Canis lupus familiaris: one gene and its partner. The protein of the gene in region 1 interacts with the protein of each later gene in a biochemical or structural test. Links are inferred from orthologs where the notes say so. Each region holds a gene or a part of one and is shown on either strand. Other genes may lie near its edges. The genes, in order: AHR and NR2F1.

Region 1 (3,820 bases):
AATATCAAATCCACTTCATAATTTTCTGGAAGTTACTAAACTTCTAAAGCTAAAAATCAAAGTTTGTATGTGTTAAAAATGTAAAATAAACCAACAATAAATGTCATCAGAATACTGAATCTTATTACTAAAATAAGCAAGTCATCTTTATGATACAGAAATTGTGATAAGTATTGTAAAAAATTTTAAGACGATCTGTGAACCTGATGAAATTACTTTAAGAGGCTATAGTGAAAGAGTATGAAATAATCGCTCATATAATAATAAACATTACAAGGTATACTCTATGTTTCATATGCTAAGAGATTTACTGCAACAAAATATATATTTAATGAAACAAAACTGAAAAAGTTTTACTTACTTGGCATCACAAGCAGTAGGTGTAAAGTCTAGTTTGTGTTTGGTTCTAAAGATGAAATTTTTGGTTCGGATCTCAAGGATGGATGGTGGTTGAAGTGGAGTAGCTATTGCAAACAAAGCCAACTGAGGTGGCAGTATTGAACCATCTTTCCCTTTCTTGTTCTGTCCATGAAGATACTTTAACCTCCCTTGGAAATTCATTGCCTTAGAAAACCGAAACCAGTTCATTAAAATTAATGCTTAAAAATTGTTCATTTCAAAAGGCTCAATCATGGCCATTTCCAGTAGTCTTGATAATTCCATAAAAGTTCGTGAGGCTGACTAATGCTATTTTCATTCTTTTCTTCACAGGAAGCCCATTAACAACTATCCCCACAGGTAGTACAAACACTATCCTAAAAGGGCTGACAAGGGAGCTGTCACAACAAAATTATCTGTATCTTTCTCTGAGCTCACAATTGCCCTGTTATTAATACCTTCCTTCCCCTCACCATGGCATTCAGTACATATTTCCTCAATGAATGAATAGTGATAAAGTCATCAAGTACATACTAATTTTCAAATACAGATAAGCTATAGTCCATAGCTCACTGTCTATTTCATAACCTATGGTAATCTTTCATATAGAGATAAAATGCAATTTTATTAAGATGCTAGAATGAATAATCAAATCATGTAAAGAATGTAGAACTCTACTAACAATATAGGGCACTTTTAGAAGACAGGAAACAAAGAAACTTAAATGTGAAAATGATCAATTTAGTTGCTTAGAAGTGTATTAACCAGGCTGAGCAATGATTCTGACCTCAGTATATGACAGCAACACAAGGAAGAAAAGACCCAAGTATACAAATTCTATCTCAGAAATACATATTAATTGATCATCAGTACTAAGAAAACTACCTCAAAGCACAATTCTAACTGTGGGTCAGCAAAATTACCTTCACAAATAAACACATCAACAAAAATAACTGCTAATATTTAAGATTTTATTATCTATTTCAAAGTCCTGATAATTCACAAAAGTAATATGTATCATGCTTTATATTCTCTTCTGTACCCATTGGAGTGCACTATCTTAAGGACAAAGACTCCTTCCACTCTGAGTATCCTGCTAAACCTGCTTGCTCCCTGATTATCTTGTTCAGGTGTTCAAGCTACACAATGGCAGCTCATACCACATGACAATTCTGCAATCACGAATATACAACCATTTTTAGATAGCAATTACTGTAGCTGTGTAGAAAAAGCTATGATAATATTTCTGACTGGCAAGGATTAAATCCAAAGAGGGTAAGCATTTTGCTCCTAAAAAAGGGCTACAAAGTTCTCTGTCTTACATATTATGAAATCCTGAAAATAGGCAGGATCAAGGTTCTATAATATTTCACTCAGTCTTTGTTACTACATCCTAAAAGATTAAGATTTTGAGTTATGGAAGATACTAAAATCTGAAAAAAGTAATTTTTAAGTTACTTTCCTTCATGAAATTATTTCTTAAAGGAGTTTTAAATATCAAACTCAAATCTAACCAAAGAAAGTAGTTTCAGTTTTCTTTTTTTTTTTTTGCTTTCTGAAACTTAATAGAAATTGCCAATATCATAAGACTTTGCACCTTACCAGAAAACCGGACGAATTATCCAGCAGACACCTTAGTCGGCACACGAAGCTCCTTTCCATTAAGGAAGAGTTTTCTGGAGGAAGCTGGTCTGGGTTATAACAGACTACTGGCTGTGGCAGCCCATTAGCGTCTGTAGAAATAATAGCAACACAAATTTACGCATTTTGCCGTACAATCAAGTGTTTGGAGAGCTGAAATTTGCATTAATTTCTAAATTGGATTCTGTTCTGATACAAAAAAGAATCATTTTCAGAAGAGTAGCTAATGAAAAGAAACTAAAATGCACAGAATATCACTTTTACTACATAGAACTTTACTCAGTTTTGTTTTTATTTCTATTGTCAAAAATATCTATATTTTCCAATGCCTTTTATCTTCTTAACACTTTTCATAGACTTTTTTTTAAGATTTTATTTATTTATCCATGAGAGACACAGAGAGAGAGAGAGAGGCAGAGACACAGGCAGAGGGAGAAGCAGGCTCCAGGCAGGGAGCCTGACGTGGGACTCGATCCCGGGTCTCCAGGATCACGCCCCGGGCTGTGTGCAGCGCTAAACCGCTGAGCCACCCGGGCTGCCCACTTTCCTGGACTTCTAAAAGCACTGCAGAGGGAAAAGTTTTTTTTTTTTAAAGATTTTATGTATTTATTCATGAGAGACAGAGAGAGAGAGAGAGAGAGAGGCACCGAGACACAGGCAGAGGGAGAAGCAGGCTCCACACAGGGAGCCCGATGTGGGACTCAATCCCGTGACTCCAAAATCGCGCTCCAGGCTGAAGGCAGGTGCTAAACTGCTGAGCTACCCAGGGATTACAAAAAGTTTTTTTATACTTGCATATTCTAGTTTGCTTTTTTATTTGGTCCATTCGATAGACAGAACAATTTATACATACTTGAGTATCAACCTTACACATTCCTTCCAGTCTCTCAAAATATTATATGTGATTTTTATAAAATATATTACTGAGAGGGGCGTCTGGGTGGCTCAGTTAAGCATCCAGTTCTTATTGTGGTTCAGGTCGTGGTCTCAGGGTGTGGGACCAAGCCCTAAATATTCCTCAGCAAGGAATCAGCTTCTCTCTCTCTCCCTCAGTCACTTCCCCCACCTGTGCACAATCAATCAAATAAATAATAAATAATTTTTTTAAAAAAAATTAAAATATATTACTGAGTATGGTAACACTTTCTTGCTTGAAATTCATCAATAATTTGTCAAAATATTCCTTAGGTCACTAAGCTCTTTGTTATCTGGCTGGAGCCTACAACCACAGACTAATGTCTTCCTACTTCTTTCCAACCTTCACCATAGAGTTATACATCTCCCAGAGGTTCTGGCCTCCTTTCAGAGAACTGTTATCAAGAAATCACCATACTGTCTTTTGGCAAACATTCTTACCATCAACTCCTTGTCCAGAGTCTGTACACTGTGAAGGGTTTAATGTCCAGTGTAGCTGACGCTGAAATTCACCTCGGTCTTCAGTATGAATAAGTTCATATACGCTCTGATGTATGACATCAGACTAAAGAAAAAAGATACAAGGAGACTTTTTTAAAGTACTGATTTAAAAAACGTGGTTTACTAAATTAATATCAAAACGTAGCTAGATTACTGAGTGCTTGTCAGCAGTGACAAATGTATGTCAGATGGTCGCAAAACTCTCTAGTCATCCAAGATAGGAAAAGCTAGAGCGAGCAGAACACTGTAATTGGTCAGCCAAAAGTTAACTACCATCACTTCCCTACTTGAATGCTTTTCAGTCAACTAAGTCATCTTCTCATTCCTTAATTGCAACACATTCAGTTCTGCTCATTTTAAATTTATTGATCTTTTAAATCCTACT
Region 2 (3,820 bases), on another chromosome or scaffold:
AGTTATAGGGACATGAGGCTTCTGAGCAGCCCTCCCCTGCCCTCAATCCGCCTTTCAGCTCCCCACGCCTCTCCGGGGCCTCTCCAGCGTGGGCAAGTTCCCACCTGCGGTCACTGAAGCCAATGGCCCCTGGACTCGGCCTCCACTTCCAACCGAGCCTACTCCGGGCTCCCCGCTTGGCTCTGTGCAGGGCACCAACCATCCACAAGGTCACGAGAGCTGCTGGGAGCCACCAAGGTGCCTTGCCCTCTCCCTGCCCGTCCCAGCCCACACAGAGCCTGACCCTCTGCATTTACAAAACCAAGGCGGCGGCTTGGTTTGAGGAAATAAATCTAGACAACTTCGTAATGGACCTTAGAAGTTTCCACCCTCACCTCCCGTTCTAATCATAATTGGAATGGCAATTAATGGGAGGGTTCTCTTGCACTCAGGACATCTGTCAAGTAACCAGACACGTGGGTTTTGCTAAATTCTTTTATTTTTTGTTTAAATTTTCACTTCAATTTTAATTCTTGAAGAACAGCCTCGACAACATATATCGCACTCATTATAAGAAGCAAAGGGTTATATCAAAAATTATTAGTATAGAATCACAGGAAATCTGGTTTGGAACCAGAAAAAAATACAAAACAGATATAGATACATAGACACAGGACAATTTTTTTATAATTATTTGGAAAATGTTATTTTCCCCTAATTCTTGTTTCCTTTTTTTATGTGCATACGATGTTTAAATTTTACAAAAAAATGAAAATAAAGACTAGTATTTTACAAAATGAATAACAATGTTTGGGGTGTGTGTGTTTGTGTGTGTGTGTGTGTGTTTCTACATAGAATTCAGTCCACTTCCATGTGTGTTGTTTTCTGTACAGAATATATCCACATCCGTCCACAATAAATCCTGGAAGGTCCATTAGTCTCCTTCTGTTTTATTAAAATTCTCATGGTCCTCTCTTCCAATTTTTTTTTTCCTTTTCTCACCAGACACAAGGTCCTTTTTCTTTCCTTTCCAACATGTTCACAGATCTGATCCTAAAGAGAGTCTCTTTCTCCTGGTTTGCAGCTCGGGTTGCATTTCTGCAGGGTGGGCTGCTCCTGTCGGCCCGGCCCACCTCCCCCCTGCCTGGCTGCACCCTGCAACAGCCGCCCGGATGTCCCCGCAGCTTTGGAGTCCATGGCCCCCGCCGGTCCTCTGAGTCTCTAGGGAGGCGGGGGCAGGTGGGAAGCGCCCAAGGTCTAGGAGCACTGGATGGACATGTAAGGCCAGTTGAAGCTGCTCCCAGACAGTAACATATCCCGGATGAGAGTTTCGATGGGGGTTTTACCTACCAAACGGACGAAGAAGAGCTGTTCGATGACCGAGGAGGACACGGTACGCAGGGAGGGCAGTCGCAGTAGGAGTTTGCCGAAGCGGCTGGGCTGGTTAGGGTACTGGCTCCTCACATACTCCTCCAGGGCGCACTGCGACTTCTCCTGCAGGCTCTCGATGTGGGCGGCATCCGACAGGCCACAGGCGTCTGGCCGTGCAGCCACAAGAAGGAGAGAAGAGGGGGAGGGCACACACAGGTTAGTGAAGAGCAAAGGCACAAACAAACCATGAGGGAAAAAAATTTTTTTAGGTTGTAAGAGGGGGGAAAAGAAATAGGAGGGAAGAGGGGGGAAAAATCCTCCTTTCCATACCTCCCCAAGCCTTCCTCACCATTCCCTCCCCTCGGCCCCCAATACAAATAAAAATAAATCAACAACTCCCCACCCTCGCCCAAGCCTAGGGGAGCTGGAGACAGAAGAACACACATGCAGAGGCAGCAACCTCTCTAGTCCCTTTGTTTTTCCTCTTTCACCTTTGGATTAAATAATGTACGATGCTGGAGCCATGTTTGCTGTGCGAAGCAACCTGTCCTCCGCCTGCAGGGGAGCATCTTTCCACTGTGCTCATTAAAGGGAGGACTTTTGCCCCTTTTGCCCCTGATTTTGGGGTGTGCAGAAGCCCTGAAGAAATACGTAGCCTGGAGGCAGTTCTTACAGGCTTCCTGGAGTCTTCCCTCTCAAACCCAAAGGACCCCAACCAAAATCCTCAAGGAGAACCTAGATTGTATAGTGAACAAACACCTGGGGGCAGGGGCGGTGGTGGTGCTGGTGGTGGTGGTGGTAAGGAATCAAGGGCTGGCAGTGCGGGAAATCAGATCGAGCCCATGCTCTAGCAGTACAGGATTTGAGATCCACTATCTGAGCAAGCGAGAACTCTGCAGCAAATCCTTGGTGAGAGTGTACGCTTCTATCTGTGCTTTAGATCAAGTAATTGAAAATTGGTCACATCTCTGTAAGCTGTATAATAATCAGAAGGAATATGGCTCAGTTACTCCAGGCTGCGGAAAGGAGACATCTTCCACGATCAGACACAAAGCTGGGCTGGAGGCAGCTGCTGTTGCTGCTTCCAAACTGGGAGGTGGGGAGTTGAGGGGGGGATTTGGGGAGACAGGCTTCCTGTCACAGGACCAAGGGGGAGAAGGCACTTACACACAATGACAGCATCTTAAGACCTGTGTGTTTATCTCCTATCAACCAGGGCTCCTCATGGTCCCCTAAAAATCTTTCAAGACAGCAGTTTATACTGTATCAACTAACTAAAGGCAAAGAAATGGAGGAGAAGGTGGAATGAAAGGAATGAAGTGAAAGCTTCTTCTCTTAGTTCAAACACCCTTGTTATTTGTTATATTAATAATAAATATTTTTTAAAAAACAGGAAGATCACAGAGGAGCCCTTTGCCAGTCAGGAGGTTGACTCGAGATCAAAGGCAGAGTTTGCTAATATATAGATCTGGGAAGAAATTCATGCATGGCAATGCCCCCAAAAGGACGTTATATAATCGTGAATGGGCAAGTGTGACCCTAAGAAGTCACACCAAACGATTCAAAGTGAAGCCCGTGTCTGCTTCTGAGTTTCTGAGCTTTATGTCTTTCTATTTCAAGAACTGGGATTTACAAAGCAGTCTAACACCTTCATCTACAAGGCAATGGCCTTGAGCAAAAATACAAATAAAACTAGTGCTAATTCAAGAACTTCTGAGGCAGGTCTCCTTTGACCCTAGATCCAGAATGGGTTCCTCTCAGATGTCTAATTACTCCTGCCAGCCACTCGGGTGCATCCACACTGGCCTGACCTGGCAAGCCATTGAGATTTTATGGTTAGCAGGGCCAGGGCAGGAGCACTTTGGGGCTTCGTTGCTGAGAGAGGGGGCCCCCCAGGTCTGCCCTTGGCCTTGCTTGCTAACCTGGCCCTGCTGAATGGCCACCATGCAGACTCATATTTACATATATCTTGCTTTACATGCATTATCTGCCCATTATGCCACAGGATCCCTTTCAGCCTCAGACAATGCAGTATGAAAAGGACCCACTGGTACCCCAGCAGATTTTTTTTTTAAAGACCCATATGGCATCCCCTCAGGTCTGTAAAATATTTATCTGATATTTACCATTAGGGCCCTCAGAGCGCAAGGACACTACCCTTCTCCCAGCTAGGCCGCTCCAAGAGAGAGAAGCCCAGGAAAGGCTTGCTTGGGCCTTGTGCTGGCTGCTTGGATTTCTTTCCTCCTTTGAAGGCAGAATGCCTGTAGCTGGGCCTGGCTGCCAGGTGCCAGCCGGCCAGCTCTGTGGCCTCCCTCCAGCAGGAGTCCTACTTCAGGCCTGGATTCCCACCCTAGTTATTCATCCCTACTCCGGATACTCCCAGGACAGGACTCCCCCCAACTATGCACGGACAGTATGAGCGCTCAGATCAGTTGGCTGGTGATGGCAGCAAAGCTAGGTGAGCAGGGAA

The links.
Region 2: the proteins of AHR (region 1) and NR2F1 form a complex in vitro, tested with the Homo sapiens proteins (2 studies listed by BioGRID). The link is inferred for Canis lupus familiaris from reciprocal best matches to the Homo sapiens genes AHR and NR2F1.

The regions. Positions count from the first base shown.
Region 1 is NC_049235.1:31,823,311-31,827,130, reverse strand, and holds part of AHR (aryl hydrocarbon receptor), read right to left. Parts: intron 3,500-3,820; coding exon 3,376-3,499; intron 2,112-3,375; coding exon 1,981-2,111; intron 565-1,980; coding exon 362-564; intron 1-361. UniProt on the Homo sapiens protein: Ligand-activated transcription factor that enables cells to adapt to changing conditions by sensing compounds from the environment, diet, microbiome and cellular metabolism, and which plays important roles in development, immunity and cancer.
Region 2 is NC_049224.1:15,764,023-15,767,842, forward strand, and holds the end of NR2F1 (COUP transcription factor 1), read right to left. Parts: intron 1,518-3,820; coding exon 1,237-1,517; 3' UTR 461-1,236; downstream 1-460. UniProt on the Homo sapiens protein: Coup (chicken ovalbumin upstream promoter) transcription factor binds to the ovalbumin promoter and, in conjunction with another protein (S300-II) stimulates initiation of transcription. Binds to both direct repeats and palindromes of the 5'-AGGTCA-3' motif.